2 linked regions of the Lytechinus pictus genome follow. The protein of the gene in region 2 interacts with the protein of the main gene of each other region in a pairwise test. Links are inferred from orthologs where the notes say so. Each region holds a gene or a part of one and is shown on either strand. Other genes may lie near its edges.

Region 1 (7,627 bases), on a different chromosome or scaffold from region 2:
GCATGTCATAGTCTACCCACGTGATGCCACTACTAGGGACAGTGATTTTCCGCGATCGCGGAAAACGGACGGAATTCACGGAAAGGGCCTTTTGAAACGGAAAGTGGCATTTCAAACGGAAAATCACGGAAAATGTATTTTCCCTCAAAATACATAGAATAGCAACAGAAATTATTCCAATATCACAACAAAATGAGAATATTAAATGGCCACAAACCCCCAGAAAACACGATCTCACTTCGCTACTATCATGACAATTCACACATCGTGACTGTACTCGACATCAGCACACTCGATTGTACCCCGCACACCGTACCCGTACCCGGCCGGCCGGCGCCGGGTTGGGCTTCACATGCACACATATCGTTCAACTACACGGTCGTGTGTTGCTGCCCTCTACGTTTGAAGATGTAACAGCACAATATCGTGGTCTTAAAATCCAAGATGGCGGATTGGCAAAAGCCGTTGACTGATGATAACGATGTCCAAAAACCCCCAAAATTATCGATGAAATATCATTTCACCGTGAAATAATGCTAATAATGTGAAAGGTGAGGATGTATGCATGCTAAATGGGTTTGTAAAAATATTTTATGCACCCGGATAGATACGATTAGAACGGATTCTATTGTGTTGTTGGTACAGTAGCAGATACAAATTTTGACCAGTGCGAGTGCTATTCAATGTGTAAACGGAATTGTCACTTTTCCGTGTGTACAAAGTCTATGGGGAAACGGAATTTCCGTTTTCTGACATGCTGAAACGGAATTTGAGATTTTCTGAAACGGAAAAGGCAATTTTTTGAAACGGAAAATCACTGTCCCTACACTACGTCATTAAGAAAGAAGTTATGACAGGTTCGGAGGTGTCATAAATATTTAGTCAGGTTGTTGTCCCCGATCTTGGCAAAGAGGGCTTCGTGAAACGGTTAGCGGACAAGTAGCTCACTATCTTCGATTTAGTCAAAGTTAGACTTATGACGGTGTTGAGAAACGGGCCCCTGCCTATGTGTGGCAGGCTACTAGCTAGGCGTAGGATCGATTGGAGCAGATTCTCAGATTCTCTCCTCCCTTCATTCTGTCTTCCCACTCTTTCATCCTTTCTTTCTTTATTTTATGTGTGTCCTTCTAATTTTTTTCCCTTATTTTTTCTTTCCCTTCCTTCCTCCCCTCCTGTTTTTCTTTGTTTCTTTCAAAGAATGAAGGAAACATTTTTCTTTCCTTCATGTATTTTTTTCTTCCTCCTTTTTTCTTACTTTCTTTTTCTTTTCTCTCCTTTTTATTTTATCTTTCACACATTCATTTTCCCTTTCTTTCTTGTTCATTTCAAAGAATGACAGAAACCCCTTTTCTTTCTTTTTTATTCTTTCTTTCATCCTTCTTTCTATAATTCTAACTTTCTTTCTTTCTTTTTTCCTTCATTTTCCCCTTAATTTTTTTCTTTCTTCCTCTCAATTAATCTCTTTTCTTTCTCTCCTTCATTCTTTTGTTCAATCTCCCTTCCTTTTCTTGTTGTTCGTTCCTTTTCTTTATGATTTTTTAAACATTGTGCAGCCTTCTCTGACTTTGTTGATTTTTTAATTATTAAAAAATAATCGCTCGGTCGATATTCTAGACTATAGTTTATCCCACTCTAGGCGACACCCCAATACTTACCCGTGCTAATAAACTGGGACTCCACTCACGCGCATTTGGGCCGCCCTAGCTTAGAACTAAGCTTTGTTTTACTAAAAAATAAATCTTGTAATGATTCAATAAATGTTACTTAATAAATTAGTACTGTTAAATCGGTACTCACCGGTTCTTTTCTTGAATTTTCTGGCAATTTCCCACGCTTCTGGCTTCAATTCTGCGGCTGTTCCTGTCGCGGTAGACAGCTACATATGCAACTTTATTTATAAATAGAGCGCCCCTTACGATAGTTGTTAAGAACGCGGCCAAATTGTTAGGTTTTTTGCACTGTGTCCAAGGCGTTTTTATTTTGTTTGATTTTTTATTTTTAATAAATATTTTGTTAAATAGCGATTTTTACGTCAAATATTAAATTCATATCACAAAATATTTTTAATTGTAGAAATATATATAATATCATGCAATTATTCATTCTATATATATTTTATAATAAAATGTATAATTGTTGCGGTCTTTAAAAAAGGATAGTCGATTGATCAGGTGATGACCACACGTATCACGTGATCTGAAAATCAGCTTCATACCGCTTTGATCGCACTCGACGGTGACCGGACTGACTGCCAAAAAAAGATCGAAAATGACTCAAATGTAAGTTTTCCTTTATTTTATTAAATTCAAATTAGGAATAGGAATATATTTAATGGGCAATCTTTTAATAAATGATAAACAAACGAGGACAAAACTCATATTTTGGGAGTAATATCATACTTGGGTGCAGGAAACAGTACGTTTAGAAGTTCTAACCTGTTTTTAACGCATTGTCGCCTATGAGGTCCATACATGTTAATGTTTGGACCTCATTGGTACTAGGAGTGGTTTATCCGGCTTGGAGCCTTCTTCAAGACTTCAGCCTTGCTTGGTCGATCCGCTGGAGCATTTGATTGTGCTTTGTTAATCGTCCCGTATTTCATTTTGTGAAACTGGTCACCCTGCTAGGGGCCTCCTGGCTAGTCACGTCTTTCCACATAATTTTTTAAAGATCGGTCCCAGTCTCCCCAGACGTAAATTCTGTTTAAACAAAAAACACTGACACACACACGTGGCAATATGTGGGACTATGAAAAAAAAACGAACGTTACAAAAAGTTTGACAACTCGCGGAAAACTTACCCGAAAATTCATCTGGATATATTGATTCTAAGGCTTCAATTTCATTGACTTGCTCCTCCTTGTAGTCAGTCATTTGTATTTTTAGTCGTTGAAACCACCATAAACTCTAAAGTCTGCTTGTAAAGCAAGGAGTTCCAAAATATTTCTTTATATTTTCTACAATCCGGTTCGTACTCATGTGTGTGTAAGCATGATAAGGTGTCGTTGACGATGAAAATAGAAAACTGAAGAAAAAAAATCTATGGCTTGGTTCTCTCTCGAAAGTTGGAACTTTGAGTTTGAGGGGGGGGGGGCAGTGGCGTACCTGGCATATTTCGTCAGGGGGGGCAAGCGACAAGGATGATCAAGGTGGGGGATAGTAGGCATGGACGTATATAGGGGGGAGGCTGATAATAATTGCCCAAATATCAACTTCACAGTTTGTAATTTTGGAGCGAGCGAACATTTTTTTCCTTGTACGCCACGGTGTACACTCACTATTTCTTTTGTATTTTATTATATGAAATATGAAATATAATTAATTTTCTCCTCATTGTCAAGTGATACAACGATTAATTCCTCCCTGAACATGTGGAATTAGCATTGTTTAATACTATATGGTTCAGTCAAGTTGTTCCTTATTGTCAAATCTATAAAAAATGAAATATTGTATAATTCAAAGAATAAAAAACAAAAGAAATAGTGAGTGATGGACATCATCGACGGGGACGCTTAGTTGTGCATATCACTGTTTTGTGAAAAATAAGCGATACTTTAAAATGTCATAACTTTCTTATTTTACATCCGATTTTGATGAAATTTTCAGCACTATGTTAGTTTGATTTTTTTCTATTTATTCAAGTCAGCATTTTCCTGGGGTAGACTTGACCTTTAAGAAAATTTCATTTACTATACAGAATAGACAAACGAATTAAGCAGATGTATCCAGGGGCACGAGGGAGAAGAAGAAATTGGCAAAAGAAAACTTTCAGGTCAATCAAAATAATAATTTCACTCGAGCTTTGCATCGCATTGCCTGCTTGAAAAGAAAAAAAAATATAAATAATTAAGTTTCCTATTCATGAGGATTTTTTGGCACGGGCCTAAAAATGTCTCGTTTTCAAGCCAATATGCAGAAGAAAGAAAGAAAAGAAATAGCTTGCGCTTTGCATATTAATTAGTATGTTACAATCATCATGTTCATGATAACTAAATAAGGGTGCATAAACATTGACTCGTTATCCCTATCAGGTCCGAATTATCAATAAAAAAGGAAGCAAAAAACAAACAAAGAAACAAACATAAATAAATAAATAACAAAATAAGACGAATGAGCTCACGCTTCACTCTTTGCGTTTTTCTTGAGTGAAGTTCGTATGAAAAGGGGGACTTGAACAAATTGAATTAAATGCAGGAAACATAATGAAAATCAAAGTAAACTCTAATAAAATTGATTTAAAGTGCATATGTAGACATGTAGATATTATGCCGATCAAATAAGTCAGCAGTACTTAGCATTTTGTGTCCACAATGGCTCTAATGGCTGATGTAAGTACTTTTAGCCTTATTTTACAAACAAAATAATATAGGCCATGCAATTCTTACGCGCGAAGTATGAGATATAATTCTTAATAATACCTGAAAGGGGATAATTTTAAGCACTTTTATTGCATTCATGATTACGAAAACAATGCGAGTGCGTATCACAATTTCTTGGTATTGTGACCTGATCGAAATGGGACCTTTTCACCCATTAACATAATTTTCTAACCGTAATGCGAGCGCGAAGCGCAGTGCTGATTTCTGTTTATACATCGAGTTGAAAAGATGATAAAGCATTTGTGACCTGAATACATATGCCTATCTCATTAAATAAAACAAACAATAAATTTTAGCACCATGAGCACGAAACGCGAGTTGAAATGTGATATACACCGACCTGATATAAGGAAAGAAAAGATACTTTGATTGGGATATAAAATAATGTTATCAAGATATACGCTACACCCATTGTCGTAATGCATATCCGATGATTGTATTTCCCCATTTGTGTGTGTGTGGATGGGTGGGTGGTTATATGTGTGTGTGAATTGTTGTGTGTCTCCGTCTGTGAAGAGAATGTGTGGGTGTGTTCATTATATGTGAGGACCTGAGAAGAGAACATACGTGGGTGTGTTAATTCTACTTGGGCCCGGTATGTGTCTCCGTCTGTGAAGAGAATGTATGGGTGTGTTCATTATATGTGAGGACCTGAGAAGAGAATATACGTGGGTGTGTTCATTCTGCTTGGGCGTGAGTGGAAGGGTGTGTGTCTCCGTCTGTGAAGAGAATGTGTGGGTGTGTTCATTATATGTGAGGACCTGAGAAGAGAACATACGTGGGTGTGTTCATTCTACTTGGGCCCGAGTGGAAGGGTGTGTGCATGTCTCCATCTGTGAAGAGAATGTGTGGGTGTGTTCATTATATGTGAGGGCCTGAGAAGAGAACATACGTGGGTGTGTTCATTCTACTTGGGCCCGAGTGGAAGGGTGTGTGTCTCCGTCTGTGAAGAGAATGTGTGGGTGTGTTCATTACATGAGGGCCTGAGAAGAGAATATACGTGGGTGTGTTCATTCTGCTTGGGCTTGAGTGGAAGGGTGTGTGTTATTTCTGTGATGAGAATTTATGCGGGGTGTAATTACGTGAGGGCCTGATTAGAAAGAAGTATGTGTGTTTTTGTGATGGGTGCATGTGGGTGTGTTAAATACGTGAGAGGGTGCATGAGTAGAAGGGTGTGTGTCAAATGTGGGTGTGTAAATTACATAAAAGGGCCTGATTAGAACGATGTGCGTGACATGTCTGTCATGATAGTGTATTTGGACTGAGTGACGGGTGTATATCTGTGGTGACAGTGCACGTGGGCATGGTGGGTGTGTTCAAAGAACTACGTTTGATCAGAAATCACATAAGTTCGCTAAACAAAGGAAATAATCAGCCCAGCGCAGGGGCGACGGAAAGGGCGACACTTGCCCCCCCCCCCCCCCCCCTCCGCAGGAAAGATTTTTTTTTTTCAAAATGAAATACCGTTTTTTTTTAAGTAAAAGCTTATACATTAAGTTAGAAAATAAAACAAAAATTGGATCGCGCTTCGCGATCGCATCAATTGTTGTTTAGTAAAGCCCCTTTCACAATTGACGTACGACCTGTTTACGACCGCCTGCAACAGATTTTTCTTGTTGTTGCACGATCGATCTCTTGGTGTCTTGCGAGCACTCGCAGTGGTTGTAGACGAACGCACGAATTTGAGGTGGTCGGAGGTGGTCGTGACTGGTCGCATCTGAATCTGAACATGTTCAAAATCCAAACGCGATCAAATACGATTGGTTTACTCGCATCAGGTCGTACCATCGGTCGGGCGATCATCGTGTGAGTGTTGTTCAACGTTGTACGACTTGGTGCGAGAGGTGACACAACTACGTATAGTCGCATTTAGTCGACTGGAGGTCGTACAACACTTGCACATGCGCTAGATACCTACAGAGACCAGTCTTGCGACTGGTTGCGATAATATAAGACTGTTGCAAGACCGATCGAAATTACGGCTTACAACATTCCACTACCGTTGCATTCGCATGTATGCGACCGTACAGCCCCTTTCACAATTGACATCCGACCAGTTTACGACCGCCTGCAACAGTTTTTTTTCTGCTGTTGCACGATCGATCTCTTGGTGACTTGCGAGCACTCGCAGTCGTTGTAGACGGTCGCACGAACTCGAGGTGGTCGTGACTGGTCACATCTGAACTTTGAACATGTTCAAAATCCGAACGCGATCAAATACGACCGATTCACTCGCATCAGCTCGTATCCGGGGTCGTACCATCGGTCGGGCGATCATCGTGGGAGTGTTGTTCAACGTTGCACGACTTGGTGCGAGAGGTGGCACAACTAAGTAGTCGCATTTACTCGACTGGAGGTCGTACAACACTTGCACATGTGCTAGCGACCTACATGTACAGAGACCTGTCTTGCGACTGGGTGCGATAATATGATGTGCCATAAGACTGTTGCAAGACCGATCGCAACGGCTTACAACATTGCACTACCGTTGTGTGCGACCGTTCCCCTCGCAATCCCTCGTGCAACACTCGCATGTGATCGCACGAGCACAATAGGATCATAATCGACTTACTCGTGCAACGGGTTTTACTGGTTGTTTTTGTTGTACGACAGCTGTTGCAACTGTGAAAGCCTATGTGCGATATTATGAGATGACTGGCGATTGATGCCTGTTGCAGCCTGTCGCACGACCAAAAGGTCGCAAGTGGTCGTACGTCAATTGTGAAAGGGGCTTAAGGTACACTCTACACTCAAATCCTGTTCATGGTTACAAATATGCTTAGAATGTACAGTTTTCAGCTTTGAATATTACACATTTTTTAGTCACATTTCGCTCTCTCATCAATTATTGTTTAAGTTACCCATTCTGTTCCTGTATACTAAACAAATGCTTAGAATATCCGGTTTTCAGGTTGAAATGTCACAAACTTTCAGCTCACGCTTCGCCCTCGCATATTATTCAATCGGAGTATCTTATTCATGGGTCACAGGTTCCTTTTCTGGTCAGCATAGTAAAAAAATCAGCTCGCCCTTCGCGCTCGCGTTAATTCTTATAATCCCTATCGTAGTTAAATACACATGGAGGAGCCGTGGTGTAGTGGTTCTGACTCTCGCCTTGTAAACAGAGGGTCGTGTGTACGAATCCCACCGCGGTCTGGCGTCCTTTGGCAAGGCGTTAATCCACACTTTGCCACTCTCGACCCAGGTGCTAAATGGGTACCCGGTAGGATGTGAAAGTCATTGTAGCTT
Region 2 (7,727 bases):
TTAGTTAACCTCTGCCAGAAGTCATGCCTATTTTTTTTTTTTTTTTTACAATTTGCATGCCTCCCCCACATGGACCTGGCCACAGAGGATTAACTATTGTTACTGGGGGTGCTGTAACAATGCTCAGCACCCCCAGTAACAATAGACTAATCCTCCATGGATAGGTCCCTGCTCCCCCACTCAATGGACGCAGTCGGATGGATTTGAGGGACACCAAGGTGGGGGACTTGCAGTCTATCCTAGTTCATGCCGAACGAGTGGAAAAAGTAATATAAATGTTCGACCTCCAGTTGCTAGAATAAGCGTGACTGTTGCCTAAAACATCCCAAGTTACGAAATTAGCAACCCTATATAACGAGGATTCTAGCCAGTCACTGTTCTCATGGTTCTTGCGTATCTACAGAAGCGGATCTAGAGGGGGGGTTGGGGGGGTTGCAACCCCCCCCCAAAAAAAAACCCGGGGACCATTTTTTAAAATCTTATCTTTTTTTTAAAACTTGTAATGCAAGAAAACGCCATTTTCACACACAGATTTTCAAAAAATGTCCCTACTGTGGGAGGGGGGACACCCCCCTCCCACACCCTCCCCCCTCGCTCGCTCCGCTCGCTTGGACTCGGTCGCTACGCTCCCTCGCATACCACCCCAACCCCCCCCCCTTTATAAAAAGCTGGATCCGCCCCTGATCTATACACAACAAAAAAAGTAAGTAAATTGCTGTAACTTTTGAGCGGAATTATTTCGAGATATATTTCGTAGGTGGTTTTGTACACTCATTAAACAACTCCTGAGGAAAAATGAGATTGATCGGTTGAGTCATGCATGAGTAATTAAAGATTGAATTAAAAATGACAATTTTTGAAAGTCACAAGAGTCGTTTTTTAGATTGTGCAAATACAAAGTTGGGCAAAAGTTGTTTTTAGGTGAATTTTATGGTGTTATGATGTTTAACTATCCATCATTTAGCCACTCTACACACAATTTGATATCGTATGTTCATGGTTGAGTGAGCACAATGTATTGCAGGGGCCGCGGAAGCGGGGGAGGGGGCTGGGTCGGGAGGGCTTCAGCCTCAAGCATGTACAAAAATGTAAAAATTACCATAAGATAATGATTTTTTGCATGGTCAGCCCCCCCCCCCACGTCGAAAACCGTTCCCTGTATTGTGACGTATCATCATAGGGGTTTATGGTAGTATCTCTACAACTTGTTAGATCATGTTAAAATTTGAAAATGTTGGTGGCTCCCCCGATTATAGGCCCCTCCCCCATTTAAAATTCTGGGTCCAGCACTGATTTGTCCATAAATTAAACTGATCATGAGAAATTGTTAGGAAAAGAATACATTTATGCAGTAAAAAGAGTATTCATTCCTAAGTTTTCGAATGTGCTCGCTCAACCATGAAAATGTTTAAAGTTCGGAAAGTGTGTGGTGATAGAAATGGTGGATGATAAAAACAACAGCAATTAAAGTCACATTTGAAACCGAATTTGCCCCCAATATTCACTTTATTACCCTTTAAAATGAGTCTCTGACGTTGAAAATACTAATTTTCCCACTTTGATGCGTGCTCACTCATTCATAAATAAACAGATCGATTTCATTTTTGCACAGAATTCTGCCCATAGGTTGATAAACATTACTGCCAAATGACATTGCTAAAGACAGCCTTGGAAAAAAGTTCCACCATATTGAATAAGGGGTTAATTATTCTTAAAGATATGCACCCATAATGTACACAAGTCTATGAGAGAGGAAGTCAACATTTTAACAAATATGAAATGAGGGTTTGTTGTAATAGGTCCATGGTTTCATGGACGGTTTTTGTTACTTCTGCCAACAGTTATTTCATGAAACTTCGCACATGGCTTCAGAGTAACACTATCCAAAAGGCGCGCACACCAAAATAACCATTCGATATGGCACAGAGTGGGGACAAGGCCTTGAACTTTCTTCTCATTTGCATAATTTTCGAATATTGTGTGCTCACTGATGCATTAAACATCGGGATTTTCATAAAAATCAAATCAAATGAACTATGCAAGGAGGTTTGTGACAGATATCCATAGTTACAAATTGCATTTTTTCCAATAACGTAAAAAAGAGCTAATCACATTCCACATGTTCATTCAAGCGTGAATGTTTAATTAAACGCCTTTGAATCATTGAAGCATGTTAATTGGTCATGAACATTACGAACAAGTTGAGAAAAGATCATTTTCAGTTACCAAAATGAAACAATACTTGTCTATGATATTTGAAAATCGTATTTTTTGTTTTCAATAAATGTTTATTGAACCGTGAAATTATGAATATTGTTGAATATACTCTTCCCAAAAATAACTGTCATCATATTCTATCATTTTTATTGATAGAAATGTGTAAAAAATCCAATTATAGCAAATTTGTACTTGTGTTTATTCAACCGTGAAATTTAGCCAAAAAAGTTGTATTGTCTTTTAGAAAGTACCTTTTACAAGCCTTCTGACTATTTTTCATGATGAGAATGTGGAATTAGTTCCAATAAAATGGAATCAAAGTCATGATATTTAGCTTGTGACTTTTGAAAAGTGACATTTTTGCCTTCTGACGGTGCTCACTGATGCATGACGTAAAATACATCCATAACGTTTACTCAGAGGGTAACTTATAAAATTACCTACACGCTCATGTAAAAATATATTAAAAACTAGCATTGGTTCGGAAATTATTGATGTTTGTTTGAGGGGGGACTTACATTTTTTGTTGTGTATATATAGCTAGCTAGAAAAAAAATATTTGGAGAATAATGATTGTGCAGTAGTAAACTTGCTCATTGATCATGTTGATGAAACTGTTAAAACTTCTGCAAAAAGTTGTGCCCTAATTGTCTCCTCACCACAAGGGATGTGCCTATATAGGGCCTATACAGTGCGTATAAAAAACGGGACAGATTTGAAAAGTCTATACAATTTTTGTTTCAAATTATGATCTCTATATTTTGGTGTTAATAGGTGCTCTGGGGTCTTATCCTTCAAATGTTATTTTTAAAAATAGTTTTGTTCATGCTTGAGCGAACACGGAATGTTTTTGTCTGGGGTTAAAAAGGAGGCTTGCGCCAAAATGGCATCAAATGATAAATATGATGGTCGGACTTCTTGCTAATCAGCAGACTTCCTCTTAACCTTTTCATTATCTTTGCCATAATTTTCGAATTATGCGGTCAAAATTCATTTCCAAGTCTACTTATTTGCTTGAATATTTCTGTTGTTCCTTTTTAAAATGTTATCTTTTAGCTTTGAATATTCCTTCTTTAGGCAAGAACAATTTTTTTTAAACCGAAGTATGGGAGAGCTTTTATTTCCCTTCAAATCCTTTCATTGTGTGCTACAAAAGGTTATGGTGCCTTTGAACTGTGGCATACTGATGGATGGGGGCTCGGGGTGCTCCCCCAAAAAAATTAAAAGAAAATCATGACCAAGAAAAAAAAAGGTGGAAAGAAAAATAACAGAAAACATAGAAAGTGAAATATGATATCATATTCTGAATATTATGTCAAAATCACAAAATTTGATATTTTTTTATGAAAAAGTGGAAATTTTTGCTTGCTCGCTTCGATCTGCCATATCTTGTTCCTTCAAAATTGACTCAATACACCATTGCCATTGAAAGACATGAATCCTTTCCTGTTTGTCCTGTCAAGCACATAATTAAACTTTTTGAAGGATTCAATAACCCCTTGAAAATAGGATTCATGTCTTTTATACGTACCATAACATAATTTGTTTCACATAATAAAAGGATTTGAATAATTACAAATTCTCCCAATTAATAATGCAAATCTCCCTACTTGGGTTGACAAAGAGTCTTCTTTTCTTACTTATGAAGGAAAATTCAAAGGTAAAAGAAGTTTAAATGAAAAACAAAATAATTCAGGTAAATAAATAAATTTGTAAATGAAATTTGACAGCATAATTCGAAAATTATGGCAAAGATAATGAAAAGATTAAGAGAAAGTCTGCTTATTAGCCAAGAGTCTAATCATCAAATTTCTCATTTCTGCCATTTTGGCGCCATTTTTGAACCCCCGACAAAAACGTCCCGTGTTCGTTCAAGCATGAACAACATTTATTTTTTTAAATGGCATTTCAAAGATAAGATCTCAGAGCATCTATTAACATCAAAATATAGATATAATATTTTGAAACAAATTTTTATAGACTTTTCAAAACTGTCCCGTTTTTTAAAATACGCACTGTATAGGATTGAAGTTTTTATTAAACAAGGTCGAGGTCATGCATGATACCGTCCTCTGCACAAGTCGACTTCCATAGGTCGAGTCGACGAATTCCCCGAACGCGATCTTCTAAGTCGAACAGATATTCATGGTCCCAAGAGATTCGACTTAGGCAGAGTCTCGTATAATTAGGCCTACATTACTTTTGATTTTTTTTTTTTTTTTTTTTTTTTTTTAGTTTTTAATTTTTAATGAATATTTCATGGGAAACAATAAAGTGTCTCGCCGCTCGCGGTACGTGGGTCGTAGTTTCAGAACGGGGTGTAAGCACTGAGCTGAAAACAACGCATTTCCAGTTCAGTGGGTTTGGTTTGGTTTAAGGTTTACAGTGCCGTGTTGGGAATCGCACCCCGGACTTTCATGTGTACCGGGCATGTGTGGCGGGTGCTCAGACCACTCGCCCACATCGGCAACCCAATTCAGTGTGAGCCCTCTGCGGTGAAAAAAGGACATTAGTGCAGCTCTCGAAGATCGTGCATGTCTTTATTGAAATCGAGTTGAAAAATTAGAACATTGTCAGCTTGATTATCTAGGCCTTAACTGTTTTGTTTGTTTCCTGTACTTTTTTAGTTGAATATCAGAAAATGGGGATTCTAGAGAAGATAGCTGAGATAGAGAGGGAAATCGCAAGGACGCAGAAAAATAAAGGTAAGTATGCTCGTGTGGTGGAAGGGCGATCGAGGGACTAATTGTTGGTGCACGGGAGAAGGTCCCGCGGAGTTGCTCTGCGAGGGCCGGCTAAGGAGCTCCGGGCCGGGCGAATGCAACTCCCAATATATTCAGCAATAATATGCGGGATACGTAGACTTGACATCAACACTTGATTGTGGGCGTCAACAACAGACAATGTCTTGAGTTGAGTTAAATTGAAATAAAACTAAACTTTAATTTATTCTGACATAGGCCTAGACACTAGTAAGATAGACACTAATTTTTTTTTTCTTTGCATTTAAAAAAGGACAAGTCCACCCCAACAAACATGACAAAAAATTTGTCCTTATTGTCAAATCTATAAAATATGAAATATTGTATAATTCAAACAATAAAAAACAGAAGAAATAGTGAGTGATGGACATCATCAACCGAGTCACCTAGTTGTGTGTATCACTGTTTTGTGAAAAATAATCAAAACTTTAAAATGTCATAACTTTCTTATAGACATTTTTACATCCGATTTTGATTAAATTTTCAGCACTATGCTAGTTTGATTTTTCTCTATTTATTCAAGGCAGCATTTTCCTGGGGTGGACTTGACCTTTAAGAATGGGTGGGGGATGGGGGGTCACAGACTGAGCAAAGTGGTATACCCAGCCATTTGTTGTGTTTCCAGACGATCAATTTTAGAAAGTTGGAAATTTGGAAAAATTTACAAGCAAAGTTTCATCAACTTTTAGTACAAAATGTTAGGAAATATTATAGAGAACAAAATAGAAGATGATTACAACTATTGAATTCATGTTTTTAGTGTGATCCAAAGACAAAAAAGAAGGCTTCAAAAATATAAAGTGTCCAGATACCCGACCCCCCCCCCCCCCCCCATCCTACCCATGGTCGTCCAAGCATCTAAGAATTGAACGTTAACTGGCTTCATCCCTGGCCCTGACTAATTCTGGGCTTCCATTGGTGTCAATTTCTACTCATAAACTATGTAGATCTATTAAAATGACAATATTTTTTTTTTTGTAAAAGGTACCCTTAATTTTTAAATGGGGCTTTTAGTTTTACATCAAAATAAATGGTGCAAATGTCAAAGAACCTGTTAAAAAGTAAATTTAAAAAAAAATGTTGAATGGGTTTGAAATCTGACCCTTTTTCGACTCCTTAGGGGGACATGCATGGTTACCATATATCAGCCCATGAGTGAGTTCATTGTCACTTTTATAAATTTATCTGCATCCGCAAGGTAAAAAAAGTGGAAACAAGGTGTTTTTTTCAGGGGTAGAATGTAAAAAGTGGCTGAACAATTGTAAAAACCTCCCAGATCATGATGATGTACAATGCAAAAAGGTATGTAATTAATTCACACCGACTGCTGCGAGACTGACTTTTACAAGACCTGTGATCCAAAATCCTCTAAACCACCATGCCCAATAAAAGGTCCAGTTAGAAATGCAATCGATAATCCCTCATCTCAAACCTGAACGCAAATCCCCATTTTGCATACTTGCAATTTCAGCTTACATTTAATCCCATGTCTAGTCTCAGTCCCCCTTGTGTAAAGCCAGACATTGGATTAGGCTCTCAAACCAGGTATGATATGGGAATAGAATATTTGTAATTTGTAAAGGAACCCCTATTTCGGGTGTGGAAATCTTGGACATCTGCACAAAGTCTCTGTTAAATGTGCCCTACAGGCCTGCCATTGAATTATCCTTTTTTTTTTTTTTTTTTTAGGACGACTCTCGTGGATGCTGTCCTCTCAGATGTTCCCGCGAAAGGAATCTAAACTAGATCTTTCTATGTTGAGTCTAGTCGAAAAAGACTTTAGATCCCTCTTTATTTAGTTTAAGGGGCCAAATTCATTTTAATTGAAATATGAATTAAAAGTCGACAATAAGTCACCAGTCCATTCATGTATTTTATCAATGCTGGTGACGTCCTTCCACACAATTTAATTTTTACACAATGAGAGCATGTATACACACGTACATACAAGAAGCTAGAAGAGAGGCGGCAAATTTCATGATAATAATTGAGGCCTCGAATTATATTCCAAAACATTGAAATATCAATTTAGGAATATTTTTCAAACTTGAAAGGAACTCCAGGCAACAATAACATTATCGAATAATTTGAGATACCTGGTGATGTAACATGTAGAATTATTAGTATTATGGACTTTTTCAACATCAATGTCAAGTTGAAATGTACATTCTTTCAATATCGTATTCCTACCCAATCTTTGTATGCTAGCAACGGAATACCATCTGGGTCTGTTGAAAGCCAAGCTTGCCAAGTACAGGTCTCAACTTTTGGAACCTACAGGAAAGAGTGGAGCCAAGGTTAGTCAAACTAATACAGTGATAAAACTATTAAAGCTTACTTTTTGGTGCAATAACAACACTGCTTAATATTCAGTTAGCATAGTGAGATATTTTATAATATAGACAAATTTTATCAATGTACAGTGCACAGGCTGAATTCAAGTCAATATGATCATTAGGGGTGGTCATGGTGTACGTTTAAAAAAAAAAAAATGTCCTTCATGTTTAGAGGGAGAGGGTTTTGAAGTGATGAAATTAGGAGATACCAGAGTACAGGTATCACACTTGTTTTGATTTGCTCTTAATAGAACCTTAGGAAGCACTGGTGTAAATCCTTGCATCACACCTATTGTTCAGGGGGGTGATCTATTTTTCCACCCCCCCCCCCCTTGAATTGCATGATGTTACAGATTTATGCCTAAGTTAGAAAGAGCATCTGTATTATGATTTAGTGTATAATTTTAGTGTG

The links. The genes of interacting proteins can lie anywhere in the genome.
Region 1: the proteins of developmentally-regulated GTP-binding protein 2-like (region 2) and RWD domain-containing protein 1-like interact in binary tests that used the Homo sapiens proteins (3 or more experiments, as listed by UniProt). The link is inferred for Lytechinus pictus from reciprocal best matches to the Homo sapiens genes DRG2 and RWDD1.

What each region holds. Positions count from the first base shown.
Region 1 is NC_087248.1:28,080,682-28,088,308, forward strand, and holds the start of RWD domain-containing protein 1-like, read right to left. Parts: upstream 3,001-7,627; 5' UTR 2,874-3,000; coding exon 2,801-2,873; intron 1-2,800. UniProt on the Homo sapiens protein: Protects DRG2 from proteolytic degradation.
Region 2 is NC_087254.1:35,189,885-35,197,611, reverse strand, and holds the start of developmentally-regulated GTP-binding protein 2-like, read left to right. Parts: upstream 1-4,711; 5' UTR 4,712-4,858; coding exon 4,859-4,922; intron 4,923-7,187; coding exon 7,188-7,276; intron 7,277-7,727. UniProt on the Homo sapiens protein: Catalyzes the conversion of GTP to GDP through hydrolysis of the gamma-phosphate bond in GTP. When hydroxylated at C-3 of 'Lys-21' by JMJD7, may bind to RNA and play a role in translation.